4 linked regions of the Alligator mississippiensis genome follow. The protein of the gene in region 4 purifies or fractionates together with the protein of the main gene of each other region. This does not show direct contact. Links are inferred from orthologs where the notes say so. Each region holds a gene or a part of one and is shown on either strand. Other genes may lie near its edges. The genes, in order: ECPAS, PSMA7, PAAF1 and ADRM1.

Region 1 (7,431 bases), on a different chromosome or scaffold from region 4:
TCCATCCCACTCTTTGGATTGCATTCACTGCCCTGGCTGGACAGCATCTCCCGCTGCCTCATTCCCTCCATCACTGTGGGGTCCTCAATCTGCCTCCCTGCATGCCCCTTCCCTCCCACAGATTTAACAGCCAGACACTGCTCTCCAAGCTGTCGTCAGGCTTGCATTCCTGTAAATCAGCTATTGGATTGGTATCGGACAATATGGCTGGTTAATAATCAGCTATTGGTATTAGCCAGAAAAATCTGTATCAGTGTACCCCTAGTTAAAATGAGGCAAAATCTTGCAGGTATGGCCTTAGACATGGGGTGGGAGCACATCTAGAATAGTTATAGCAGCAGACTGGGAGTCAAGATTTGTTGGTGCTACTCACTCACTGGGTGAGTCAGGCAAATATCTTCAAGAAACATACCTGTCCAAGTCACTCATCAAGTTTACAAAAGTAATATTTTACCATGAACAAGCAATTTTCCTTTTATCACCATGTTCCTTCATTTCAGGCAAAGATATGAACAATAAAAGTTTGAATTTCAGTGAGCAGTGTCAAGTTTAGTCTCTCTCCAAAAATGGCTTTCCCCTATTTTGCATCTCACTGCTTACAGTTCCAAACCCTATTTGTTGATTTTACATAATGTTTTAAGATATGACTAGTTTTAATTATTCATCTACTAAATGCAAGTATCCTTATAAAAGTTTAACCAAGTGTGTTTTTCCTCATAAAAAAAAGCAGCTACAAAGTTTATTGTAGCCAAGCACCCACAAACAGGAACAAACTGGCTTTCTAATCTAAAAGGAAATAATCATTGCTCCCTCAGGAGTTCGCACTCTCCCAAAGATCAGGTTCTTTTCAACAACACTGCAACTAGACTATTTTATAAACACGCATACTTCTGAATCGAAGAAAAAACTGGGGAGATTCCCTGCATTCTGAATTTCTTATGCTTCTGATAAAGCTCACCTTTGACACTCCAACCTTTCCATTCTTGAAAAATGAGATATTAGAAAAAATCTCTGTCCTCTCTCTCCACAACACACACAGAAACCATATGCATACTTCCAACAAAATCCCTCAAATTCTGAAGTCCATACTGTATGTTTTCTTTCGGTACAGCTTACAGATAACTAATTCTCTTAGCAATGATTTAGATTGCCTGAGATCTTCAATTAGTGCAACATCGGATTGCTAAACCAGAGTCTCACCTACTAGATATTCTTCCTGTCCTCCTTCCAAGCTCTGATTTAACTTACATGTGACCAGCAATCCAGTGATAATAGCCACAGGACACTGGAGTGAAAAAAAACCCAACACCCAAGTTCAAATTGGAGGCTAGGAAGACGAGACACTCCATAACGTGGAAAAAGAAACGTGTCCATGAACAGGAATTATTATACCAAGAATCTCAACTAAATGAATAAGTGAAGACATCAGAGTTGTAAAGTGGAAAGAGGAGGGATTTGATAAGCGTCTGTGATCAATCTTTCTATACTATAACATGACAGTGTTATAGTATGACAAATGACTCCTACCAACTGTCAATGGAATAAGCAGGCTGGGATTTAGGGTGATCAGTGAATCCTGAAGGTAATCAATCCTCATTGCTCCTCGAGATTCTGGTTCTTTGGCAAGATCAGGAAAACACAGCAAAATCTTGGTGTGCCAAACTCCGCTCACCTTATCCATTTGATAACAGAATTTCAGCACACTAAAGGGGTACTCTCCAGCAAAGAGAGCAGGGGACAGAGGGCCTAAATTACTCCTTGTGCAGTAAAGCACGGTTTAATCCTCAAGGGCAGTAGACTGCAAATATGTCAAAACTGCTCTTCCTCTTACAGAGTTTCTTATGGCGATGCCAATCCCTCACTTTGTTCAGCCCAGCAATCCCCTGGCAGAGTTCAGGAACACCAGGCTGCCAGCTGGGTTCTTGGTCTTCTGTCCGCATTTCCTCTTACAGGGTTGTTACATGACACGAGAAGCAGGAGCACGGTACAAAACACTCCTTTAAATCTGGAGCCTCCTACAGACGCAGGCCTAGCCTTTGTCATACCGGAACTGGTGGCAGAGTTGGAAGGTTTATTTAAAAAAAAAATAAATAAAAAAAACAGGTTTCCCTTGCCAACCATGAGGGTAGGTTCTTGAAAGATCCCATGGCTGGCAAAACTGTGGTTGGCAAAACCAGCAGGGCTGGGGGAGCAGGGGCCGTGGGTGGGGGTGAGTGGCACCAGCAAGGCTGTGGGGACAGGGGAAGTGTGAGAGGCATGAGCAGGACTACAGGAGTTGTGGGGGTATTTTCAGACTGTACCCCCCCTTCTCTGAAGCGTGGATACTCAAAACCGTGGCTGGTGAGGGAAACCTGTACAAATAAAAAGCCACTGTGCTAGATACCCTCTGTGGGCAACAACTCAGACCTGTGCCATGTCACTCAGCCTCTCCCTACTGGCCTCATCCTGCCCAGGGCCCCGCGTGGCCACAGGATCTGCACACAAGGGTGCTGGGGGGGGGGGGGGGGGGGCGTAATTTGCAGTGCATCATTAGCTCAGGAAATACCCAACTTTCCTCACCCCAGGATTTCCTCTTCTACCATAGGGCTGGTTACACAGGCGCAAATGGACCAGGCCTGCCCAGGGACGGGTGCGGGGCTGCCTGGGCGACAGTGCCAGCGCTGGGCGGATTACACCCATACCCAAGATGGGAAAACTGAGCCTCCAGCTGGGGCGGGGGGCAGAGGGCGCGGCCACCTGAGGTGGGCCTGGCCGGGGCAGGGGACACCCGCCGCCTGTGCGCGGGCCCGGCCCGACATGACTGTGCACAGCGGAGGCCCCGGACCCGCCGCGCGCACCCGGCCCGGCCCGGCCCGGCCCGCGGGACCCCCCGCCCCAGCACGGCCTCCGCCCGCCCGCCCGCCGCCCCGGCCCGGCCCGCGCCGCCACCACCGCCCCACTCACTCAGCTCGTCGGAGGCGGCCGCGGCCATGTTGCCGGCGGAGCGGGAGGCGTGTGCGTGCGTGCGCGTCTCCCCCGGCGGGCGCCCCCGGCCCCGCGGCTGCACAGCCGGCCCGGCCCGGCCCGGCCCTGCCCTGCCCGGCTCGGCCCGGCCCGGTCCGGCCCCGCCGCTCCTCCCCCCGCGCTTCGCTTTCGGTTTATATTTAGAAAGAGCTGAGCCATCGCCTCCCGCTCCCCCGCCCGGGCCCGGCCGGCACCAACCTGAGTCCACTGTGACCTCCATGCCGGGGGATGCGGCGGCGCTGCTCGCAGGGCCAGGCCGGCCCGGGCCGGGGCGGGCGGCGGCGGCGGGAGTCCTTGCCCCTGTCTGCGGCAGGAAGGTGCAGCTGGCGGAGGCGAGCTCCTCTCCCTCCGCCCCCCGCCCCGCCCGCCTGCGGCACCCCGGGCCCGGGCCCGCCAAGGGCGGCGGCGGGGCTCAGCAGGCCCGGGCCGGTGTGGCGGAGACCTCAGCCCACACCAGGGCAGCACGGCTGCAGCCCGGCGCCTTCCCCTCGGACATCTCCGAGGTACAGTCAGGGAGAGGGGCCCTGCCTGAGGCCAGCTCATCTCCAGCCAAACTGCCCCATACGTGACCCCCCCAACTCTGACAAATTGCAGGCCACCCATTTAAAATGGTACAACCTACAGGACCACCAGCACGTTTTTCAGCTCAACCTTAAGTACCACCAGCATATTTTTGTCACGTAAAGCAATGGTGGTCGATCTGTTAACGTGTACCACTGACAGGTTGTCTATGTACCACTGGGGGTACCTGTACCACAGATTGGGAACGGCTGGTCCAGGGGATGGATAGGGCATCCCTATCCATGCTGCCCCATCATTGCACCCTGCATAAAACTACCCTCAGCCCAACACCCCCAACCCTGCCACAGGTAAAGCGGGGGAACCATGACAGCCAACCGCCTGCTTCTATAAAATGTCCGTATGAGTATGGCGAGAGGTCCCGGGTAGAGGCCTTAAGTTCCTGGAGCTTAAAGAGATTTTGAGGAAGAAATATTTTGGTGTAGGCAGCCTGCCTGCCACCTGATAACCCCAGACCTGCGTGTTGTACATTGGCTTCTGTTCCACCATGGAGAACACGTGTCACCAGGATACCCTCCCTATGCCTGAAGAAGGGGGTTGGTGCCCAAAAGCTTGCAAAGAACAATTTTTCCAACTATTTAGTTGGTCTAATAAAAGATATTGCATTTACCCAAAGAACCTTGGCAGCCAAAGAGTGATGTTGCGGTCATCATGGGCCAGAAATTGTGTGACAGGCAAGGATTTCTTACTATTGAACCAACTAGGTCGTTGGGATAAAGTTAGGCAAGCTTTGGAAAGGGAGATACTCTTCCTCCAGTATCACCTGCATGAGAATGAGACCAGTCTTACATTGGAAAGCTTGTCTAAGTTTATCCCAACAACTTAGCTGGTCCAACAAAGGATATTGCCCTAAGAAATCCTTGTCCCTCTCATTTCACTGTAGGGCTGCTTTGGCCCTTGAATGACTGCTACTAGTAGAAGTGTTGCACATAGCTGTGCCAAGAGAATCCTTCAAGGAACCATCAGTCTTCAACACATCTGTAGCTTCAGAACAAAAGAAAGTTCAGATCATTACAAAACAGTTGAAGCTGCCTAATTTCAACTTTTCTGTCATGTAAAGTGATTTTTACAGAGATATTAAGAATCAGCCACAAAAAAACACCACCCCGCCCTCCAGGGCTTCTCACAATGCCCATTACCAATCTGAGCTACATTAAGGATTATGCTGACAAGTGGCTCCTAGGAGAGCGATACATTCGGTCTCTTGTGCTGTAGCATAATTTACAGCAGACCCCACGGTGCACATTTGTCAGCTTTTTCTAACAACTGAAGGTTCTTGTCATAATCTTATAAGACATGGCATTTATTTCCTCTGTTAACTAACAAGCAGGTGGATTGGAGATCTCCTGCCATTGACCCTATTATGAACCAGTCTGAATACCTGCAGTGTGTGTCTTTGTCATGGGTTTCCCATGTTAGGACTTTGCAGTTTGCTTTGAGAATCCACATGGGAGCAGATGAAACACAAAACACAGATCCTGCACCAGGAGGAATGAGTGTGGGGGTAGGAGAGTGTAGGCCCAGCAGTCCCCCACCCCCAGGTTTCCCACATATTTGCTACACTCATTCAAGCTGTAACCACAAGCCAAGTGTTGAATTTGGTGAGGGTAGGTAAACCCAATTTCTTCCATAAAAAAAACCAACCCTTAAGGTGATAAAGGACTGGACAAGTCAGATGCCAGGGCTCTCAGTGAGTTATTTGATTTTGTAGAGAGATGTGAACAGACCAAAGAAGAGAAACCACATCATCCCCCCCTTAACATCAGAACTATCAAAGAATGGGCTAGAAAGAGTTGAACAAGTTGGACTCAACTCTTAGGTTGTGTTCACCTATTAAAAGAATTTGTGGACTTGGGAAAAAGCCAGAGAGACTGCCTGCTAGCAAAGAAAGAGGAGCGAGGTATATCAGAGGCCTAAGCGAGAAGCACACTCCAGGGTGGGACTACTGTTTCAGTGGATAAAAAGCATCACAGCTCCTACTGATGGGCAGAGTTTTCTGTGACAAATAATTTCCTTCATAAAAATTAGGTTTCAGTTTACTGGAAATGGTCTGTCTTTGAGAGAATGCTGCTGTCAGTTCTCCTGAAATTAAGAGTTATCTTCGGTCTCAAATCTTCCAGGTAACAAATTTCTGTACCCTAACATGCAATGGATTATTCAGGGTTTAAACCTGGCCTTGTGGCATTTAAGTGAGATGTAAGAAGAAATGGAGGGAGAAGGAAGGTCAAGAGTTTTTAGGCTGTGAAGAGAGTAGTGAAAAGGAAATACTGAAAAGGCATAGACAAAGAGTTTTCTATTGCTTTCATAATGATCAGAAATTCAGTTAAATGGATGTTAGCTAGTTTGACGGTTGGATATAGCAGACCACCTTTTTTCTGGGGCTCTTGAAGGAATTCCTCATGCTTCATACTATTTTTCACAGATCATCAGTTATCTCCTGGCATACCCACACATACATGCACATCATATTTGATTCTCCTGTGCAGGGGTGGGCAATTATATGGATTGGAGGACCACTTAAGGAGTTTTGGTAAGCTGACAGCAGTCTACACCTGTTTACAGGCTGTTTACACTGCCCAGCATGATGAACAGATGCCAACTGATCCTATCAGGGCCCACCTACCCTGCACCCACCACCAAGGCTACCAGGTGGAGTGGTGGGTGGGGTCTCCATGGAGACTGGATCAGGACCCCATGGGCAGAGACCAGTTGCTGTCCATGGAACTGGCGCCCATCACAGGGACATGTGGGGAAAGGATCACAGCTCTGCCCTGGGCCTTGGTCCCACACTGTGCCCACCCCGTGATCCCAGCCCTGGAGGCTCCAGCTGCCTGTCCTGCTCCTGGATGCCACTCACCACCCAACTGTGGCCCCTCCCATCAACCCAGCAGAGCACACTCTGCTGGCAGGGGTCCCAAGCCAGTCTCCATGGAGAATCCCTCCTGTCTGCCCACTCCATCCAGCACCCCTGGCAATGAGTGCAGGGTGGTTGGGCTGGGGTGCACAGGCAGCAAGGCCAGGTCTGGGGATGGTGGCAGAGACACTGGCAATGGTATCCAGAAGGAGCCACCATCACAGGGGATGCCAGGAAGTCAAGCCCAGCTGCCACACTGCCCCTGCACCATCCAGACTTGCAGACTACAGATGCTGGCATGCCCAAGAGCCCCACATGGGGATAGGGTGGGCTTTGCTCTGCAGTAGGTGGTACCTCCACACCCAGGGGCAGCAGGACCAGCTGCATGCACCACAGCCCAAGCTGTCCCTTGAGCCTGGGCCAGGCAGGGCCAAGGGACCCGCTGCGGGCTGGATAGAATCACTTGGTGGGCTGTATTTTGCCCACCCCTGCTCTTGTGGCATCATAGGCTTAACAAATTGTGACAGAGCAGAATTTGAAGAAATTAGAAAAGCAGACTGGAAGTGTATGACTGGGCTCTAGACCTGCCTTAGCCCACGTGTCAAATTAAAATGTTTAAACCCTTCCTAACATTCACAGGAAAGTTTTCCTATGTGACTGCATAGTGATCAGAGTGCAAAGAAGCAACTTTGAGAGGATCAGTCCTATTCAGTTAGATCAAGGTACTTATTTATCAGTAGGGGCTATAGAAAAAAAACAGCAGGAGAGTGAAACTTAATAAGATCCTAAGAATCAAATGCACAAAACTAGGAAAAAGGGTAATCAGGTTAACTAGTTGGTTCTTCTTGCAGAGGGAAACATGAGTCAGAGTAATTGCTGCAGGTCTTACATTTCCCCAAAGACACAGATAAGTAGAAAACCAAGTTCATCCCAATCAAGATTTTCTGTATAGAAAAGGAGCATAGTTGTCAGCAGGGGCTACATGCATTTATAGA
Region 2 (7,028 bases), about 170 kb from region 4:
ATTCTAGTCGTCAGAGTGAGTGTGTAAAATTAGAAACTATGCATATCAGTTTGCAAGAATGTCACATTTGACTAAATCTAAAGACTACTACTGTAGCCTGCTCAGATGGATTGTAAATTACTTCTAGTACGGCAGTGTTTAGTACACATTTTTAATCCCGTTTGTCATTACTTCTGCTTGCTCTTCTGAAATCTTACAGCTTGAACAATGGGAGTTGGTTTCACTTTCGAGTTCTTTCTGCTACGAGGCTTGCTTACCAAGTTAACCTTTTCACTGGAATGAGAGAATCCATTTTTTGTTGCGTGTGATTTTTAAAACCTTGAGCTTTCAAAATTTAGCTTTTGGGGAAGATTCAAATGGAACAGGTTCACTTAACCTCCCCAAACTCCTGCTACTACAGATTATCACCATTTTATCTAAGAAAAAGTCATTCTGATCTGTATTTCTATTCCTTCCTCACAGGAGTAATTCACCCCTCTTCCAAAAGGGAAATTAAAATACATTTCTATCCTCAGTGGATGTCACTAGTTCAAGACATTTTCTCGTATTCGATTACCCCAAAAACAACCCTATGGAACCACAATTCTTACTACAAGGAAATAAGCAACCATCAGGGCATATACATACTCCTCCCATTTCCCACCTGCAATTATCCAAAGAACTTTGCTTTCATAGTTCATAAACCTACCTAATACAGTAATGCTCCAATAACTACCTTGTTTAAACTTGTTCCTAGCCTGGCGACCAGCAGTTAACAGTCCAATTAGCCAACATCACATACCTGCAAAAGCCATGCAGACATTTTCATCGAGGGCACAGATCTTCCGCACAGTTCGTTCATCCTGAAGCTTTGCAACAGATTTCTTTTCCACACCAAGAACTACGATCTCTTTTCCTCTTACTCCAACCTTCAATGAATTCAAAACCCAAAGCAGTTACAACATTCCCAAGTCCAATAAGAATGTTTGTTTTTTTTTTAAACAACAAAAAAAGTAATAATACAATGAGAAGCATCAAATAATTTGCCTCATCGTTGTACTGGACATCAAGCTGAAAAATAACTGATGTAAGAGAACAAAAATTAGCCCATATAATGGGACAAGTCTGAATGGTTCTTTTTATACACCTGTTAGTCCTTCCAAGAAGGCATCTCTATATTTGGTTCTTAAAATCACTTTTGGAGCTTCAGTTACAACTATAACCAGGGTTTGAAATACAGGGGAGCTCAGGGGGTGCTGAGCCCCTCATAAGAGATGACAGCACTCTTGTAAGATTTGAAAATCATAGCACGGGGGGTCTCCAATTACATTAGGGCATCGTGATGGGCAGCCCAATTCGTTTTTGGAGACCCCCTCCCCAAGAGTCAGTGTAATTCGAACCCTGGCTGCAACTGATCAGCTGCTAAATCCAATTAGACCTAAAGAGAAGTCCGTTAGGTATGTCAAGGCTCATCACAAGCTAAGACTGAATCACAGACTAAACAACAAAGCTTAAATTGAATGGTCCTCAAACAGATCTGCTCTATATTCCAACTCTTAGGTTATTCTATGTGCTTCTACCTCTCCTTCGCCAGGAAGAGAAGGGACTGACACTGGGTTTCTTAAGACAAGAAGCGCCACGTTGGGTCGGACCCGCGGTCCAGTCACCCCAGCAGTCTGTCTCCAACAGCAGCCAAGTATACGCTACACAGAGAGCGCACAAAACCAGGTTTCTCTAATGCGATCCAATCCATCCCCTATTCAGCACCCTCCCGGGCATCCCCCGTTATTGTACAGGGATGAGAGGGGAAACATCTCCAACCCTTCTGTTCACCAGCCATGAACGGATCCATCATCCATGAAGTGACCCACTCGTTTCTGAACCTGGCCACGCTCTTGGCTTCACCACCTCCCGCGGCAACAAACTGGTTCAAGTTTTCCACAACCAAACTGCCGAAGCGAGCTCCTTCCTGGCTGGGAGATGTAGCTAGTCCAAGTCAAGTGAGAAGATGGAGTAAGTCTGCACCTCACAGACTACCCCGAGCCTAGATCATGTACGTAAAAAAATAAACAAATACAGACCCACGTGCATCTCTATATCTATCTATAGAGCTGTATGTAAGTAGGTATGTCTGCATAGGGTGTGTGTATAAATACTCATACATTCCCATATCTACACACACACCCTATGCAGACATACCTTCTTACATGCATCTCTGTATCTATCTATAGATCTACATGTGAATGTGTATTTACTTTATATATCTGTAGATCTCTATGTAAGTAGGTAAGTCAGCATGATGTGTGTGTGTGCGCGCGTGTGTAGGCACATATATCTGTCTATACGCATGTATGAGTATTGATATACACACCCTATACAGACATACCTACTTACATATAGCTCTATAGATACATATGGAGATGCATGTGGGTCTGTATTCATCTTATATACATCTCCATCTCTCTACACGCGTGTAGGAAGGTATTTGCACACGTGCCTTTGCTGCATGACCTCGCACCACGCGGGTGTGTATACGTGCATGCGTGCATTTGAGGACAGTATGTGCACATATATGTGGAGAGAGAGAGAGAGAGAAAGAGCAAGAGGCCAGTGTGCACACATGTATGTAGGCAGGTGTGTCTGTATACAGAGTGTGCGTACGTGGCTGTGAGTGTACACACGTACATGTACACCCACACACATTCACACGCACGCCAGAGGGATCAGGACTTGTTTCTCATCACACCAACTCGATTTTTCAACAACAAAAAAAAAAGTCTATGTTTTTGCACGCGTGTCGCGCAAGTGCAGGCGGCGCCCCCCGCGCTGCTCGGGCCCTCCCCCCGGCGGGTCCCGTGAGGCCAGGTCAGGACAGGCCCGGCGGCACACTCACCGCGGTGGAGCCCTTCTTGACGGCCTCCTGCGCGTACTCGACCTGGAAGAGGTGGCCGTCGGGAGAGAAGACGGTGATGGCGCGGTCGTAGCTCATGGCGGCCCCGGCGCTGCCTCAAATCCGCACACTCACCGCCCGCCCCGCCCCTTCCGGCGGACCGCCCCGCCCCTTCCGGCGGCCCTTCCGCTGTCACGCGCCTGGCCTACGCCTTCTGCTTCCTGTGCGCCAACTGCGTAGGCGCTGCGTTTCCCCACCCCCCTTCATGTTCTACCTTACGCACTTGGCGTACATACCTGCGTGTCTCCCACCCCCCCGTTTAACGTAGCCGCCGGGTTTATCAAGGTGGAGGATTTCCTCTCCGCTCTTGGCGTACACGCGTTCTTTGCCTACGCCATTGACGTAGTTATCAAGGTGAAGTTATCCCACGCACTTTGCGTAGGAGCGGGCATGATTTCCCTCCCCCCTCCGGCTTCACGCTGCACTCCACGCACTTGGCGTACATGCCGCCTTCCCTACGCACTTGGCGCACCTGGCTGCCGCTGCTCGCCTGCGCCAGGAAGCCGGGGCGCGGGACGCACCATGTGCAGCGGCGTGGGGGGGAGCGGGGGAGGGGCTCTGCGGTGGGCACCGCCCCCGCCCCCCCCCCGGACCCGAGCCGCTGGGCCCCCCCGGCGCGCGGGGCTGTGGCAGAGGGGCGCGGGGGGCGGGGCCGGCGCGGGGGGCCGCGGGGCGGGGCGTGGGATGTACCATGTGCGCCGGCCACCCCCGCGCACTGCGGACAGCCCGGCGCGGCGGCGGCGCCGATCGCAACCGTGAGCGCGGGGCCGGGGCCGTGCCAGGGACCCGCCCCCCCCCGCCCCCGCCCCCGCCGGCATGTCGGTCGCCTTCGCCTCCGCCCGGCCCAGGGCCAAGGGCGAGGTCACGCAGCAAACCATCCAGAAGGTGAGGGGGGGGGCATCGCCTCACGGCCCGGGGGGGAGGGGGTCACAGCCGGGGGTGGGGGATGGGGGCTTCATCCATTATTCACCCGGGCACGGCGGGGGGGTGAGCGCCGCCGCCGTCACCACCACGGTCCTGCGGTACGGTCACCATCCGTGTGAGCATAGCGTTATTACCGGGGGTATTCGCGTTATTAGCAGTAGTGCTGGCATGATCGTCACTGTTACTATTAGTGTTGGCATTATTAGTATTATCAGCGTTATTAGCATTATTAGTAGTATTAGTATTAATAGTATCAGTATTGGCATTGTTAGCATTGGCTTAGTATCATTAGTATTAGTGTTATTACTAGTATTAGTATCACTAGCATTATTATTGGTATTGACATTATTATTACTAGTATTATTTCTATTATATTACAAGTATTATTATTATTATTATATTACTAGTATTAGTAGTAATAATAATACATTGTTATTATATTACTAGTAGTAGTAATAATAATGCATTGTTATTATTACTGCTACTAGTATTAGTATTGTCAGCATTAGTATTGGTTTAGTATCATTAGCATTATTAATAGTATTGGCGTTATTACTAGTATTAGTATCATCAGCATTACTATTACTATTGGTATTATCAGCGTTACTATTAGTATTGGCTTTATTAGCATTAGTATTAGTGCATTATTAGTATTAGTAGTAGTATCAGTGTTGTTAGTGCTAGTATCAGTGTTATTGTTAGTATTGGTATTATCAGCATTATTGGTATTGCCATTATTATTAGTATTGGCATTATCAGCATTGTTAGTAGCATTGGCATTATTAGTATTAGTATCAGCATCATCAGCATTATTATTAGTATTGTTATTTGTATTAGTATCATCATCAGCATTATTATTAGTATTGTTATTTGTATTATCATTAGTATCATTATCAGCATTATTATTATTATTATTGTCATGTGCGGTTGCACTCGTCGTGGCTTAACGCCAAAGGGCAGAGGTTTCGAGGGGCTTTCTCATCGGGCTCGGTCCCTGCTGGGCTTCCCTACAGAAGCGGGTGCTGAGGGGACCCACTTGGGAAGTTCGGGGGATGCTTTTGTAGGAGAAGACGCGCGAGGGTGATGGGCAGGGGGGAAGGAGCCCCTCCCAGGCCCTGCTGCCGTCCCCGGGGATAACGGAAGAGGTGTGGAGGTGTCAATAAAGAGCGTGTCTGTGCTGTCGATTGGTTTTGCTGAACAATGCCTGTCATGCCCAGCTCCAGCCTGCGTGCTCTGTGTTTGCCCTATTGCGATGTGCGGGGGGGGTTGCGTTGTGCGGGAAGGGATGAAGGTCTGATGTAGTCCATTTGTAAAGGATAATGGCGAACAAAAAAAGGTGTCAGCTCTCAGCAATCAGCTGTTTAGGAGGATTTCCTGCAGTCCAGCTAGCATCTAGTGCCAGGCTGTGAATTCTGGGGCAATGCGTTTTGCTGGAGGACGAGGTCAAGATTCAGGAAAATGAAGGCAGAACAAAGTACCCCGAGAGAGATGTTAGAATCTCGCATCTCTAAATGCCAGGAGAGCATTTGGAAACTCGTTCCATTTTGCCTAATTCTTGGAGCATGTGAGACGTTGTCATCAGACCCACTTCATTTCAGAGGCTAAAATATTTAGACAGCAGTGGCAAAAGGTGCAGCTTTATCCTTTATCTGGATTTTTGTGGGTTTAAGGCAGAATTTCACATCCTGTGTAGGTTAGTCTTTTAAGTTCATTTTCAAGGTTTCAGTGTAAAGGACAGTCGTAATCTCTTAATTGTCCACGCACTTTCCCTCCTGTCCGTGATAAACCTAGTAATAGTTTGGGGCTGCAGTCTGTTTCTTGGAAATATATAAAAATCTTTTCCTCTGACAAGTACACTCCATGCTTTCTACATTAGGCTTGCTCCTTGAGTTCTTGATTCTTGGCAGTGATGGTCTTTTTTGAAAAGCACTGACGCTTTTATCTGAAAACAAATGCATAAAAAAATTAACTTGACTTTGCCGTCATATATGGGGGGCAGGGCGGAATCTAATTTTGGGGCAGGAAATTGCAACAGTGTGCGTTCATCAGAAGTCAGACTTTATAGTAAAAGATATTTTTCACAAAGATGCTTGTTTTCGGCTCATGTTTGAATACACAAGCAGCTAGTTTTTATGATGCATGCTACTGACTTGCTTTCAAAAGCTCCTTTCAAGCCTTTATCCTTCCGAAGCTAACTATAATCCTTATACAAAACTTCATGTGAGGAAAGTGAAAGACTGTAGGATTGCAGATTGACTGTAGCTCATGGAACAGCAATGGGCATTAATATTAACCTTCGATTTACTTCTCTGACAGATTAGAGCCTACTTCTTTTTAGCAGTGTTATACTACAGTTATTCTCTGGTCTTTTTGCAACAAACAGTTGTGTTGCTTGGATTGTCAGCACTGAATACACATCCAGAGGTGACGTTTGATCCTTAAACCGTCTTACTAGACATGAGGATGCCAGCAGCTGAGCTGTTCATTAATATTGGAAAATATTTTGAGGGTCCTAAGATGATTACAGTTTTTCAGGAAAAATGATCCTCTCCACTCAGTTGCAGAGAATTGTATTAGACTTTCCACAGAATATCTCCATCTACATCATCGTAGGTTCGACACAAACAGTGAGTCAAATGAAATCAGAGCTTTGTTGGGAATATTTTGATTTCAGAGGTTATTTCCCAGATGCCATGCATCCGGACACCATGCCCAAACCATACAGGAGACGCATGAATCTCGCCTGCCACAATTCTGACTCTTCCCATCGTCGGCAGGGAGGCCTTGCTGCTGGCCTGTCTTGGTAGGACACAAGAGATGCTCCATTCCTCAGATCCCCTTGACAGGTGTTGCAGAGATGCGTGCTGTCAGGAGTTGTGATCAGCAGTATGCCCCCTGGCCTGGTGATGACATGCCCCTGTTTGTACAGTCTGTAGAAGCCAGAAATCTGGATTCTGCTTGTCCATTTGCTGTTGACCAAAATATGGGACTACGTGATGCTGCTGCTGCTAATTTTTTCCATGGTTTGGTCTTTGTTTTTAAATTTGTTAAGAATCCTTCTGCATCATTCCTTAAAGAAAGCAAGCAACTGCATGAACAACTAGATACCTAGATGAGATGAAACGTATTTCAAGAAAATGTTTTCCCTTTCCTGAAGATGCTGCGTATTCAAAAA
Region 3 (7,533 bases), on a different chromosome or scaffold from region 4:
TAGCTGGTCTCTATCAGAGCTGGCTGCATCCCTTGGCTGGCTTAAACCCTCCCTGAGCTTCATTACACTTGCTCGGTCTCCAGGAGCTCCACCCCAGAGCTGGCTGCATCTCCATTCCAGGTAAGCCCCCTGCTATCCCCTATGTAGTGTTATACTCAGCCCTTTCTAAGCTGCTCCCCACCCCACAGCTTGTTGCATCTTCGCACCAAGTAACTCTCCCACTCTCCACAAAAACTACCCCTACTACTGCCCTATGTATGGGGGTGGAGCAACTCCCCCTGCAACCCCCACATCTGGGGCAGCTCCCAGCCCCCCATTCATGGCCACACACCAATAGGACCCCGGCAGCCCTGCAACCGGTGGGGTTGGGGGGTGGGGGAGCCCTGGGCCTCGTGGGCTGGTAGATGAGATGCAGCTGAGGGGCTGTGGTTCTGGGGGGCCATGTACAGCTCCAGCATGGGCCCTGGTTGGGGGCTACCAGGGACCGCCAGTCCTAGTACCAGGTCCAGGTGGGCATGGGGCAAGTCGGCCCCTGGTGCAGTTCAGCCACGTGCTGCCCCCGCCAGCACCGACCCCTTGGGCTCCAGCACCAGCTGCACCTCCTCTGGTGGATCTGGGAGGGCAAAGGGAGGGCAGAGGTCAGGGCCAGGCAAGGGGAGGGGCCTAGAGCAGGTGGGTGGGGCCTGGAGGGAGGAAGGTGCATGGGTTGGGTGAGAGCCTGAGCCTGGTACTGGAAGGGAGCAGGGCCTGAGGGTGATGGACAGGCAGCCACCTGCCAGGGTTGGCTGAGGGCCAGCACCTGCTGTTATGACTGACAGGCAGGCATCTGCCTGGGTTGGCTGGCTGCCTGTGCCCAATGCTACACAGGGGGGAACCAATGGTGATGGACAGCCCAGGAGCCCCGCCCCATCTGGCAGCTACTTGCAGAGCACATCCAGGTCCAGCAGGAGAGAGCAGGCAGCGCTGAAGGGGTTGCGGGCCTGACATACATAGGTACCAGTGTCCTTGGGATGCACTGGATTCAGGTCCAGCCGGCATCTATTCTGCCCTGGCAGGTCCTGCCCATCCTGGAACCAGCTGAAGTTGGCAGCCAGGGGCTTGGCCTGGCAGGAACAGAGCGGTGCCATGGGGTCCCTGGCATGGATGGGCAGTGCTGCCTACAGCTCAAGTGCCACAGCCTGGGGCACATCTGCAAGGGTGGGGGGTGGCAAGGGAGGGGACCCAGGTGTCTGGGCTCCCCCACAACACCACAGGGCACCTCAGCCCTCCCAGAGGTGGAGGGGACCCAGGCAGCCGGGCTCCCCACTCCCCCACACTGGATGCTGTTTCGCAAAGGGAGGCAGGGGGTATGGTCCAGTCACCTGGGTTGTGTGCGTGTGTCCCGAATGCTTGGGGGGGGACACGGGGGTGCATGCATGTATGTGCATGCGTGTGCTGACCCCCGACTCCGACCGCCCAGCTGCCCCCAGCCCTGGCCACCTGCACTCACACTGCGCAGAGAGGCAGAGTGGGGGGGAGGTGGCAATGCCTTGGGGACTCTGGGCCATGCAGTGGTAGGTGCCGATAGAGCCTCATGCCCAGGCCCGGAAGGCCAGCATGGGGCCATGCTCTCCCAGTGCTTTCCAGTTCTGGGACCAAAGGTACTGGTAGACACGGGGGTTGGCTTCACAGTCTGACCCTCCAGCACCGCTGGTCCTGGCGGCAGTGTCAGCGTCACGTTCCTCAGGGGATCTGCAGGGGCTGTTACACTTGGTTGCTGCCTGGATGTGCCAGCCCAGACCTGGGCACATCTGGGCCCCAGCACCCCAGGGCAGCCCCAGGCTGGGGGCAGTGGCCCCACTCCTTGCTGCTGGAGCTCTGCCCTCAGGCTGTAATTCCCTCCTGCCATGACCTAGCCCCACCCCCTAGTGCTCCCTCAGCTAGGAGACTGGTCTCACACCAGGCTCCGCCTCCTACCCCAGTGGCCCTGCCCCCTGGGCCACACCCTTCTTGAAACTCAGAGCCACACCCAGACCCCACCCCCAATGCCTCTGCCCTCCACCCCTTTGCAGCCATAACCCCACCCACTGGTTCCAGACCCCGCCCCCAGACATATGCCCCTCCCCCTGCTCCTTTAGCCCCACCCCAGTCTTCTATCCCTCCCCCAATACCAGCAACCCTGCCCCCTGTGTGATGCCCTGCCTCCTGCCCCAATGGCCCTGCCTCCTGCCCCAATGGCCCCGCCCCCACCCTTTAGCCACACCCCCATTGCCCCACCCCACTCACAGAGCACATGCAGCTCCAGGCGTGGGAGAGAGCCTGGCCGTGGCCCTCTCACTGGGGGGTGAAGTCTAGCCAGGCTGTGGTGTGGGCGCCCTCCAGGTCCAGCCAGGCCCAGGACTGGGTCTGTTCTCCCCCCAGGCCCTCCAAGCCCCCCAGGCCAGGCCTAGGGGCTGCAGGGGGCAGTGGTGGGGCAAGGAGCAGGTCAGGTGGGCCAGGACCCCCTCCTGCAGCAGCCATGGACCCTCCAGGCGGGCGGTGGAGAGGCCCATTGTGGGGGGGGGGGGAAGAGGTCAGGCCCACCTGGGTTCTCTCCCCCATGGTGGGAGGGGCTTGGGAGCCCAAACACCTGGATTTCCTCACCTGCCACCTGCACCTGGATCGTCTCCATCCACTGCTCATGCTGCTGCTTGTCCGTGGCCTTCAACGTCGACCCCTGGGGCTGGACAGCATGGATCCACACCCCATAGGTGCTGTTGTTGCCCAGCCTTACATTCTGAAGAAGTAGACTGCAGCTGCCCCAGAGGTTGCCCAGGAAGACCACTTCGGGTACTGCTGTGGCCCTGGCCCTAATCCAAGCCAGCTCTGTGCCACTGTAGCCCTTGGTCTTGGGGTCCCAGCGGGGCTCGTGATACCAGATGAGGGTGTGCACCTGGCCCAGGACCGGAGGAGGTTGGTACAGTGCCCAGCCCGGCTCGATCTCACCAGGGCGGGGAGAAATGCACCTCGGAACAGCAAGAAATAGAGGAGAGGCCACGTGGCGATGCCAGGGCAGGTGAAAGGCCTGGGGAGGGGAGACGAAAGCAGGATGTTGGCTGCTGTAGTCCCCCTGCTTTACCTGTGGCAGATTAGGGTGTTTTGCCTTGTGTTGTGTCAGGTTTGACGGTGTCATTTTGCTAACATTGGATTTGTATGGGATGGCTTGAATAGGGGTGACTAGATGACCTCTGGGGGGGTCCCTTCCAGACCTGCTTCTCTATGAAAGGGGACAAGCTAAGGGGGCAGCCCTGATGCTGGCTGGCTGGTACCCGAGCGCTTGTTTTTTTAAAGTTCATTTACGCACTTGCGCGTGCGTGTTGGAAATAAAACACGCAGCCCCCTTGAACTATCAGATTCAGGCCAGGCTGAGTTGACTCTGCTGCTCGTCCTTCATTCCACGCAGCCGCCTACGTGAAGCTTTTCAGAGCAGAGCTGAGACAGCAAAGCTACGTGCCCCCTTTCCCCACCAGCAGGATTGAGCAGGCCGTGACTCTCCAGCCTAGCAGCAACTAAGCGAGGGGAGTTTCCTTGGTACGTAGCCCAGGGTCCTTGCAGCTGACAGATGCTGCACGATGTCCTGGCAAATTCCCACCTGGAGCAATTTAGATAAATCCACGTGGCACCCAGTCTTTTTCCTACAAGACTTCCATAGCACACACGTGTTGAGCGGAGACCACGGCAATATTGCATGTGCAATGCTACATCACGCTCTTTGGCCCAAGAGAAGAACTTACATCAGGAGTGAATCCACATTTAATTTGTGCCCCCAAAATTAAATGCATTTTCACCCAGGATTCCCCACTAGAAAATATTCAGTGTCATTTCATCATCTCAGCTCCTGATTAGGGTGATCAGTCTGCACACACACAGGCCAAGGGGCAAAGCATTTGACCCCTCCTGGAGTCAGCAGCATGGTTCAGGTGTGCGAAAGGCTGATCAGATGTTGACGTTGGGTCTCTTGAGCATCAGGCTGCGGCCTCCTCTCATCAGTTCCTGGCCTGGGCCAACTGCTGCCGCCTCTGCAGCTCCTCCGCGCGCCGCTGCTGATGTTCCTTCATGCACGCCTTGAAGGTCTGCACCTGCGCCTGGCACTTCCTCCAGTCCTGGTGCTCCGCCATGCACTCCTGGACGGCGTAGTGCGAGGCAGCGCAGCCCGTGCGCGAGATCATTTGGTCCAAAGGGTCCTCCTCGTCCTCCGGCTTCTGCTTCCAGTTGTGACCTGGGGAGCCGGACATCTCGTGGATCTACAGCGTGGGGACCAGAACAACAACAAAACCCACAAGGACTGAGATCCACCATGAAGACACCACTCATGGATGGCCTTTTTTCAGCCCCACCACACCCAGGTCTTTACCTGCGCTCTTACACCGGCTGCCCCTTTAAGAGCGTGGCAGGACCCGGAAGAGGACGCGCGCTCTAATTGGCCGAGCCTCCTCCACCCGCTTCCGGGTCGGGGTGGGGGAAAGGGAATGCACTTCCGGGGCGGGGAAAAAAGAATACACTTCCGGGGCGGTGCAGCAATGGCGGCGACCGTGCGGGTGCAGAGCGACTGGCACCAGGTGCTGAGGTGGGAGCCGCCGTCGCCCCTAACCACCGTGACCCCCTCTCCCCTCCCCCCCACCGGTGCGTCACTAACGGCCGTTTCTGCCGTTGCAGGAGGAACGAGGGCGAGGCCTGGCTGAGCTGCAGGAGCCCGGGTGAGTGCGGGGCCGGCGGGCGAGGGGGGCTATCACTATACATATAGATATATAGGTGCATAGGTAGAGGTATATAGGTATAGGTATGGATATGTTAGCGGCATTTCATTTTACTCACGGAAAAATGTGGATTTTTGGGTTACTTTGATTTTAAAAACAAAAATCCCCATTTCTTAGATATCAACACGTAACCCCAAATCCACATTTTCCCATGAGTAAAAGGAAACCTCACTGTATCTATATCTCTATATATATGTTAGTGGCATTTTGGAAAAAAATGTGGATTTGGGGTTATTTTTTTATATCCAAGAATTGGGGATTTTTTTTTTATCAAAGCTACCCAAAGTCTACGTTTTTCCATGAGTAAAATGAAACGCCATAATATATAGATCTGTATGTTAGCGGCGTTTCATTTTAATAATGGAAAACAGAAGTCTTCCAAAATCCATGTTATATTCAAGAAGTGGGGATTTTTTTTTTTAAATCAAAATAACCCAAAATCTGCTTTGTTCCATGAGTAAAACGAAACCCCACTATATCTATATATCTGTACCTCTCTCTATATATTTGTATTTCTGTATGTTAGTGGCACTTCATTTTAATCATGGAAATAATACGGATTTTGGGTTCCCTTTTTTTATATACAAGAATTGGGGATTTTTTTTTTTTTTAAATCAAAGTAACTCAAAATCCACGTTTTTCCCATGATTTAAAATGAAAGGCCACAGTATAGGTAAGTGTTGCTTCATTTTAATCCTGGAAAAATGCAGAGTTTGGGTTACCTTTTTTGTAACTAAAAATTGAGGATTTTTTTTTATCAAAGTAACCTGAAAATCTACATTTTTTTTTTTTTCCAGGATTAAAATGAAACATCACAATATCTATATCTCTGTGTTAGTAGTGTTTCATTTTAATCATGGAAAAATATGGGTTTTGGGTTACTACTTTTATATCCAAGAATTATTTTGGGGATGGCCATATAAATATAAATTTATGGCCATATAATAGCGTGGTTGCGCATGTATAGAAACATGAACCCAAAGTGTATAAACATATAAATAATACCAATGGGGGGGGGACTTTTTTCTCTGATTTAAAAAAAAATAACAAACAAAAAAAACCCAGGAGCCCTGCTAATTACCTTGTGTAGAAGCAGGACGTTGGCGGCCGCGGCCCTGCTGTTCGCCCTGTGGCAGGGTCTGGTGCAGTGCCTGGGGCTGTGTCATTTTGAGCTTGGATGATGGGTTCGTGTGGGCTGGTTTGGGCAGGGCTGATGCTGCCTCAGGCAGGGGTTGGGCTGGGTGGGAGCTCCCCGTCCAGCTCCGCTGCTCTGTGATTCAGCCCTTCTTTCCTCTGTTGAAGAGTCCCTGCTGGACAGGGCCTCCAGAGGTCATGGCTAGTCCAACCCCCCCAGTCAGCCCTGTCCAACCCAGCCCAGAATAACCCTAATCTAAGCTCATAGCAAACTACAGTCAGCCTGACAGGCATCATGCCTCAGCCTGCATGTGATTGATTCAACAGCACCTCGTTGTCTGTTCTGCCTGCCTTCCTCACCTCTTGTCTGACCGGAAGTGCAGTATGCCCGGGTCATTGTCTGTAAAGTGAGGTGACTGGTTTGCTCAGGACATGCCCAGATTTCATAGGCTAGTCCCAGCCAGTTGGTGAAAATTGAAAGATTGCAGGGGCACAGAGCAGCCCTGCCTGCTTGTCTCCACCTGCAGCAGCACTGCTGACTTTGGGTGGAGGCAGTGTCATGCAGATCCTTAAAATAATATGGTCACTTTACTGTAAAGGGACCTGGAGTCCTAGGCAGGCATCTGTGCTCATTGGGGCCAGTGGAAACTTCCACTCTCTGGGCAATGCCCATTTGTGCCGGATATGGAGCCTCTTGGACTGTGGGCCAAATTCTGTGACTAAACGACCATTGTGAACCTCCCGCTTTCTGCTGAAAGTGCAGGTTGTGTGGCTTCATCCTGTCCTGAGTAACCAAAAGGCAGAGCAGCACATGAAACTGAAAATAACAGCCCTTAACAGTGCACGCAGATGGTAGTCGGAGAGAGGGTGAGCTGTGCACCAGAAGTTAGCTATGTCTCATAATGCACTGCTGGACGGTGCATAGATACTCTGGTGGTGACACTGATATAAGAGCTCCAATAGAACAGAGTACTTCCCCCTTCTTGGTACTTGTACCCTTCAAATGCACAAGCTGCTTTTAGGTATCCAGGTTATAGCCATACTGGTCTAGAGGAAAAAGCAATCAGGACTCGAGGTAGAAGTGATATCTTTTATTCAACCAACTGTATTTTTGCAAAAAAATTTCTTTAGTTTAATTAATATGCTTTTAGTATCTTTTTGCTACCTGCTGCCTCCACGCGCATTCTTCGTCATTCTTTCCTCCTTGCAAATCAATATCTTCTCATCCCATATTTGTGTTGTTTTTCTGTGAGCTCCCTCTGGTTCATCAGTATCTGACTATAAATATCTGTGAAACGGTACGTGTTGTTCTAGGTGTGATTGTACTACTCTTCCCTTCTGAGATATATTGGAGTTTGAAATTATTTCAGCCACCTTCTTCTAGTGTCGTACTCGACTCTTATTTGCAGTCCAGCTTTGCTTCTGTACATCTGAATGTTATGTGCTTCCCAGGTTTCTCTCTGTCTCTGTCTCTTATTTTTCCTCCTAAGCAGAGTACTGTGCTGTAAGTATTCCAGTCTTTCAATCTGCTAAGTGTATACATCAAAGAAAAACAGTTAAGTTCAGTCACAGTTATTCTTAAATTGGGTGGTCTGTCATATTTCTATTCCATTTCTATTCCAAA
Region 4 (7,427 bases):
TCCTACTAGCCAAGAGCAGGTATGCAACAGCAAAAAAGCAGCTCGAGAGTCAAGCACCTGATACACAGCACAAACGAGAGCAGAGTGTGGTGCCTGAGTAAGGTGCTTCCGGGACTACACTGAGCAGGAAATGCCACAGGGAACCAATGCATGACAACAGGAAGTGGGAATGTGTGAACTATGCAAAGACTCCTCCACCCATACTACTATTCACTACTACAGCTTTAAACAACAGGTTTGGACAGATGGATTACTTAAACTGAGTCAAAAGGGGAGAAACATACCAAACACTCACTGTCCCTTCCCCCTGGGTAATCTACACCTCCACTTGATGTAGGAAGGGAATCTTACTGGGGCTGGCACACAGCATTCACCTCACCTCTTTAACTCGGTACAATTCCTTCAACCTAGGAACATACTACAACCTAGGAGGTGGGTTAAGAAAGCTTAACTTCCAGCCCCCACTCCAGGTGCCAGTTTTCAGTGACTTCCCTGGGATTCTGCTCCTGTACCACATGCTGCCCAAATGCTCCATCAGCACATGTGCCCCTTGAGGTGGCTCCTAATACCAAGTCCAACTGCTGTGGACATTTCCAGCACCTGTATTCTGATGCTCAGCCTTTAGAAAGTAGTTACAACCTAGATGCCACAAGAACAGTGCTCCATCAGCGTATGCACAAAGGGCTGGAACTACCGAATAGCATGGGAGAGGTCAGAGGAAGTAGAGCCACTTATTCCTCTACTGTGCAGAATGCACCCAGCAGTAATAGACCATGCCCTATACCTCCCCTGGTCCCTGATCACACTGATCCCACAGCAACAAAGTAAAACTAACAAGGCCAGCACCACTTTTCACTACACTGGGACCACCTCAGCTGGGCAGTTCAGGTAAGGGTGGCAGTGAAGAAGTACCCCGAGGGAGATGTGCAAACCAGATACGAGAGCACAAAATCCCACACTTCAGGCTGGCAGTCCTTATGCTAGCAGGGGCTGAGAGCCATGCCAAAACCAGATGCTCACCACCTGCAGAAGCCCCTTGCCTCTCCCCGCAGGAAGTTAATTAGCACATCAGGCCCTGACACTGAGGGACACGAGCACCGTGCTTCAACCCAAGCTATTCTACACTAAAAACAAAGGCCAGGGAAAGAAGAGACCAATGTCAAATAAGGAACCAATGTAAGAAATAAGGAATCTCAGAGATCTCCTCTGGGCCCTCAGAGAAGATGCCAAAGTCACCTCTAACCTCGCATAACTCAAGGGACTCAACTGCTCACCAGGGTTTAAACTCCATCCTTGACAGAAGAGGATTCAAACCTACATCGCTGGCCTGCCAGGAGAGAGGGCCCTATTCAGGCCCTAAACTATTCTGGGCCAAACACGCTCTCAATCCCTCCCGTTCAAATGCTTCCATCTTGCATTAATAATTCAGTGTTCAGTCAGAGAAAAAGTGTGCCACAGCCAGGGGATCGGGGCATACGCCTGGGAGGGGGAAGCTGGGCTCTGCTGAACGCTTACAGGACACAATTAGTGAAACAGTCAGTGGGGCAAGGACCAGAAACAAAGCTCCCTTGTGCATCGATCCCCAGGGAAGCACGTGCCGAGCACAGCTCGCGGCTGCTTCGTTTCTCGTCTCCTCGTCCTGTTTCTGAGGCAGCGACAGCATCGGGACCTTGCCGCCTCGCACAAGGGAAGTGCTATTCAAAGTCACGCGAAAATATTCAGCGTCAGGTAAGACGTAACCCAGCAGGAGAAAGCACCACATCGGCGTAAAGATACGAAAGCGTAAAGATACGAAAGCTTTTTACCAAGTCCTCCTAAGCCCGTTGGTCCGATCAGCTGCATGAGCTGGTTATGGCTCATGTTTCCCAGAAGGCTTTGCAAGCCACCCTCACCTAAAAACAAAAACAGCCTGAAACAATGTATTCACACAGTTTTCACAGCCCCCCCCCACTCGCTCCAACAGCTGGAGGTTAACCGGCATCATTTCGCATGGGGAAAAAACAGCGTTTTGCAAGCGTTTGCTAATTCAAGACGCTCGTAAGAGACGAACGCCGCTTGGTTTCGGAGGCGGGACTCCGGACGTCGTCCCGCAAGCGAGCGGGGCGGCAGCACGTCCAGCGGCGCTCGCGTCTCCCCCCCCTCCAAACTCGCCAGGGGTTTGCTCTTAGAAAGCTGCGAGTTTGTACTTAAAAATAAACCTTCCCAACCCGAGGGGCGGAGAACGGGCCTTACCCCCCAGCGCCGAGAGCTCGTGGCCCCCGCTCGCGTTGCCGCCCAGCGCCCCGGGCATGGGGGGGTTGTTCAGGTACTCGTTCACTTTGCGGCAGTGCTCTTCGTCTTTGTCCGTCTTCGGCTCCTGGAAGAAAGGGAAGGGGTCGTCGAGACAGGCCCGGCCCCCCCCCCTCCCCCGCCCCGATCGTGGCCGGCGCCGCCGCGCAAACCTGCATCCAGAAGAAGAGCCGCTTGGAGCCCGCCTTGAACTTGAGCACGTAGACGCGGCCGGTCGTGCACTGCGGGACCCGCTTGAACTCGCAGTCGTCAGGGAAAATAATCAAGTCCTGCAAAAGCATTTGGGGGGGGAGGGGGGGGTAACTAAATGTTGGTGTGCCCACAAACAATTGTCCCGGGGGGGTAAGACCCGCCCCTATTTGTGCCCCCCGTGGCAGCCCCGCCCCGTTTGAGGCTTATTCGGGCCTGTTTTGTCACTTTATTGATTTATTTCCCCCCCCCCGGGCGCCCACGTCTTCGACGCTGCCGGAGGTGCGGTCCTTCCAGCAGAAGTGGATGAGGGAGTCGTCGGTCTGCTGGATGTAGACGAGGCCTTTCCGCTTGTCCGGGGTGACGGTGCTGCCCTTCAACGACATCTTCCCCGCGCGGAACTCCACCAGGTACTTGCTGGACGAGCCGCGGGAGCCCGGCACCAGGCTGGGGAACAGCGCGCCCGACGACATGTTGCGGGGAGCCGCCCGGCACCTTCACCTCAGAGCTGGCGGCTGCGCTGCTCTTCCGGCTCCCGCACCGGAAGCCCGCCCTCGCCGCCGCCCTGTTGGACGCGCCCCGCGCGGCTCGGCCCCCCATTGGTTCGCGGCGCTGCCACTCGAGGCGAGGCCGGCCCGGCATGCCCCGCGCCGCGGCGTTTGGGGCCATTGTGCTGTGTCATACGGGCCGAACCACGCGCGGGGGGAGTGGGGTAGCGGCCTCTAGCTAATGGAATTGCCCATTGTCCCCATGGAGGAAGGGAGCAGCCCATTCTCCCCATGGAGGAAGGGGCAGCGGCCTCTAGCTAATGGAACGGCCCATTCTCCCCGTGGAGAGGGGGAGCGGCCTCTAGCGGCGCCAGGTGGAACTGCTACCCCAGGACCTGGCCCTGCAGGGCTGCAGCATGGCCTGGGGCCCAGCACAGACCAGTTTCCAAATCCCTACTGGTGCTACAGCCACATCTCCAGTGGAAACCCAGGCTCTGGGGGTGGAAAACACCCAGGGGAGAAGAGCATCTGTAAGCAACACCCATAGCACGGAGGGAAAACAGGCCCTCCCACCCAGGATCAGGCCCTTCACGCCCTAGGAGCATGCGGTGGGACCTGGAACATGCCCTGTCCTCACTTATCAAGTGCTGGAAAGCAAACAGGGGTCTGCAACTGGAGTGGCACGAGCAGATACCACCTTCATCACAACCCCATTGGTGGTAGGAAGGGCATAGACGACCACTTGCTTGGCTTTTGTGCGGCCATAAAAGAAAAGTAGGGCAGCACAAAGGCAACATCCATTTCCACCCTCAGATTCGCTCCTCTCCGCCTTGGTGAAGTGCTGCCACTGGGATGCCCTGCTTGGAGTTTGACCCTCGCCCTCAAATCCGAGCGCTCAATACCCTCTGCTGTAACGTCCACACTTACGTTTTGCACTTACAGCGTTCATAAACGGACACCTTGCTTCAACTTTCTGACGTCAGTTTCGACTTCACAACTCTTGATGCGATGCGACACGGCGCCAGGGAACAACTTCGCTGCATCGCCCGTCTCCCTGGAGAACATCTGTCCAAACCTCCTTGGATGTTTTCTTTAACAAAGCAGACGAGACTCCAGAAAACCTGCAGCCAAGAGCCCTTCAAAAAGTCCAGCAAAGTCACCAAAGTCCTTCCAAATCGATATGATTGCTATTTACAATATAAATACATTAATGTAGCTATATGACTCATCTATAATTGATCCGAGTACAAAATTCTGGGGTATTTTTGGTGAAAATTGGTTCCTGAACCAAGGCCCAATATCCTCTCTCCCATTTATAACATTGTTTCTTATGAGAAAGTTGGTTCTGAATTATATTTTGACTTAAGAGGCAGAGGATTGCCTGTGTGGTTTTAGACCACTAGCATGGGCAATGCGGGCAGCAGCAAGGGGCACCCCCAGCACAAGGCTCCTTAAAGTGCCTGTGCACACTTAAAGTGCATGTGTGGTTTTAGACTCAAATTCCTCTACAGCAGCGGTTCTCAGCCTTTTGCACCTTACGTCCCACCAACCATTTTGTCAAAAAACCCTGGTCCCACTATGATAAGAACAAAACCCCACTTTTCCCCCGAGAAGTGTATTTTTTATGTTTACATGCCTTTTAGTATCATATTAATCACTGAGCAATGCGTTGAAGTCCCACCTACATGATCTCCGCGTCCCGCTGGTTGAGAAACGCTGCTCTACACAACCACCAAAGCTATTTGTTGCAAGGACCCAGCTTTCCTTATTTATGTGCACAGGGCCTGCATACCGTTGGGCTCCGAGTGGGTGCTAGAAGCACCATCACAATATATCAGAGATACCCACAGTGTCCAAGTCCTGTACACAACTCACAACACACTTCAGTCCCACTCGTCTCCCCACTGCTTCAGCTTCTATTCAAACAGCTAACGCACACAGGATAAAAAGATGTTTTATACGCAAAGCTTGACAACAGAACAAAGCCATGAGATCCTTGCGTAATCTTCACCCCAAATGGACACTTACCAAGGAAGGTACTGCCGTGCAGTCAGCGATGCCTAGCGCTACCTGCTTACAGCCAGTACTGGGAACAGAAAGGCGATGGGCCAGCAGGTATTTTCCCCTCTATAACAGAAATGCAGAATCGCAACATGGGCGTGAGGAAGGTCTCAGTGGGGCAAAGCAGTCCAACACCCTTCAAGGCAGAGATGCTAAAGTCTAAGGAAGAGGGAGGAATGGCTCCTGTTAGTGGGCATACGTGGGGAAGAGTTAGTGGGCATATGCGGTAAGAATCTCACAAGCCGATCTCCTTCCCCTCTCCTTATCAAAAGGTCCAAATACTTAACCCTTCCCTCAGAGCATTTTGCCATAAGGAGGTACTCCAAAAGGCTGCACTTTCACAAAGCTGAAGACATTAAGCAAAACAGATCAAGTCAAAAAAAAATCTGAATAACAATTGTAAGTTTAAAGGTATTTTTGTGATGCGGTACCGATTTTGAAATTACAAAAAGTAGGTTTCTTTCATTAAAAATTGATCTTGGTTAATTGAGAGGTGAAAGCGGCAATTAAAATACATAATAAAGTAGGGAGCGGAAGGGAGAAAATGATTGCACTTCATAATTATTAACGCAGTCATTGCTGCCAACATTCCCAAAAATATATCTGTGGGCAGTCAGGCAACAAGAAATTTTCTTAACCTATGAGGAACAAGAAACGCTAGCATTAGTAGACAGGAATGGTAACATCGTCAGTTATGATCTGGAAAGGAGCAGCTTACAGCAATGAAACATTTTAGTGCTTCTCCAAATTACTCTTGAAATACTAACCAGCCTTACATATTTTTTTTTGGTACAATACAGCAAAAATTAAAGACAAAACATGACTTTCCTACAGGCTGCTTAACCTAACATGGATCACAGAATCCTGGAAAGCCTAATCAGGGATGCAAAGGACAGAAGCATAATTTATGCAAATCATAGTTTTATTGAAACTTTTTAAAAATACCAGCTTTAGCTTGTGAAAGTAAGTGCGACACTAGATGGCTGTAGGTATTCAGTTTGCCACTGCATGATGTTTCAATTGGAAGTCTGCATTATACAAGATCAACACTGCACATATTAGAACTGAATTAAAATCTGATTTACTAAGAAAGGTCCTTTGTTCTCCTGGAAGAAAACTTTGCAGAGAGGGTGAAGAAAAAAAAAAAAAGTAATGCCAAGCATTTTATGTCTTGTTCAAAATGACTTTTATTCAGATTTACAGTTTAACATTTATGTCCACAAACCTGTACAGACTTCTCTAAAAAGCTAAATATGACTTTGTTAATATAGATGGGTATTGACAGTTATTAAATATTATAAAAATAAATCCATTTCACTAAAGCATTTTTATCATCTGACATTTTCATGCAACATGAATAAGGAAAACACAGTGTGTGTAAATAATTAACAGGAATACAGCAATTGAGTAAGGCAAAAGAAAAGCAGCTTCATAGAAGTGTAAATCAGAGTGGACTGGAATTCTGGGTATGAGCAATTTAATCTTTTACATGCTATAAAAACATACCAAAAATCATTTTTTCTGTATTAGAACCGTTAGCTTTACATAAATTTAAATATTGCTTTATTGTACAACTGACCCAAACCACAGGTGTTTTCAGAGAGGCAAAATTACAGTGTATTACCAAATTATGTAGTGTTTAGTCCATATCCTAAACAAACAGGTATGCTTATTTCTAACGTACAGATACATTGATTACAGTGAACAAAAGTAAACAGGAGAGAAATGAGAACTACATTTAGGAGAGAATATAATCAGGCATATGTATTGCGCAAATGGTTACAAACCATTTTCTCACAGGGTCTATTATCATTAGCAATGTGATGTCTTTTGTAACATTCTAGTTTTAGAAAAGACCTCTGGGGAAAAAAAAAAAAAATCAGAAAACTTCTTGAAGCAGGAGAAAATTTCTCTCTCTCTCTCAAACAAAAAACCCTGCCTTTTAATTTACTGAGAATTTTAATTTTTAAGGGGTTTTAAACACTTAACTAATCAGGGATATATTTTCTCTCCTTCAGTCATCTTGGGAACCAAAAATCACAGCGTCCAGTAACCCAAAAAGTTGTCACCAATCTATAGTACCACAAATCTTTCAAATGATGAGTCCAGTGCCCATGCAGCAACTACGAAAGCATATTTTACCCTTCTTTTGAAATGTTACCAAAAGTTGATTTATACTTTAAAATAAGAGAATGCCACTCATTCCTGTCCCTAACTTAGTCCATCTTTTGTTATACAACCATGTAACTTCCATTGTGGGAGGGATACACTTTCAACGGGTAACAGACAGACCCAAATACTTTCATTCAAAAACTGCTTTTGCCCTGTTTGTGTTTCAAAAATATGTTTAAACTATTCAATCATCCCTCCGTAGATACTTTCTTCCTACAGTACCATGTA

The links.
Region 1: the proteins of ADRM1 (region 4) and ECPAS purify together in Homo sapiens (affinity purification with mass spectrometry; 3 studies listed by BioGRID and IntAct, with this or other methods). This does not show direct contact. The link is inferred for Alligator mississippiensis from reciprocal best matches to the Homo sapiens genes ADRM1 and ECPAS.
Region 2: the proteins of ADRM1 (region 4) and PSMA7 fractionate together in Homo sapiens (co-fractionation; 3 studies listed by BioGRID, with this or other methods). This does not show direct contact. The link is inferred for Alligator mississippiensis from reciprocal best matches to the Homo sapiens genes ADRM1 and PSMA7.
Region 3: the proteins of ADRM1 (region 4) and PAAF1 purify together in Homo sapiens (affinity purification with mass spectrometry; 3 studies listed by BioGRID and IntAct, counting the BioPlex papers as one, with this or other methods). This does not show direct contact. The link is inferred for Alligator mississippiensis from reciprocal best matches to the Homo sapiens genes ADRM1 and PAAF1.

The regions. Positions count from the first base shown.
Region 1 is NC_081826.1:165,611,804-165,619,234, reverse strand, and holds the start of ECPAS (proteasome adapter and scaffold protein ECM29), read right to left. Parts: upstream 3,021-7,431; 5' UTR 2,972-3,020; coding exon 2,944-2,971; intron 1-2,943. UniProt on the Homo sapiens protein: Adapter/scaffolding protein that binds to the 26S proteasome, motor proteins and other compartment specific proteins. May couple the proteasome to different compartments including endosome, endoplasmic reticulum and centrosome.
Region 2 is NC_081832.1:5,945,044-5,952,071, reverse strand, and holds the start of PSMA7 (proteasome subunit alpha type-7), read right to left. Parts: upstream 3,016-7,028; 5' UTR 2,969-3,015; coding exon 2,873-2,968; intron 909-2,872; coding exon 782-908; intron 1-781. Other genes in the region: SS18L1 (calcium-responsive transactivator), read left to right, coding at 3,746-3,814.
Region 3 is NC_081824.1:466,976,592-466,984,124, reverse strand, and holds the start of PAAF1 (proteasomal ATPase-associated factor 1), read left to right. Parts: upstream 1-4,512; 5' UTR 4,513-4,538; coding exon 4,539-4,585; intron 4,586-4,674; coding exon 4,675-4,715; intron 4,716-7,533. Other genes in the region: uncharacterized protein LOC132248652, read right to left, coding at 2,623-3,151; cytochrome c oxidase assembly factor 4 homolog, mitochondrial, read right to left, coding at 4,005-4,253. UniProt on the Homo sapiens protein: Inhibits proteasome 26S assembly and proteolytic activity by impairing the association of the 19S regulatory complex with the 20S core.
Region 4 is NC_081832.1:5,777,691-5,785,117, forward strand, and holds the start of ADRM1 (proteasomal ubiquitin receptor ADRM1), read right to left. Parts: upstream 3,017-7,427; 5' UTR 2,952-3,016; coding exon 2,742-2,951; intron 2,559-2,741; coding exon 2,442-2,558; intron 2,357-2,441; coding exon 2,233-2,356; intron 1,893-2,232; coding exon 1,806-1,892; intron 1-1,805. UniProt on the Homo sapiens protein: Component of the 26S proteasome, a multiprotein complex involved in the ATP-dependent degradation of ubiquitinated proteins.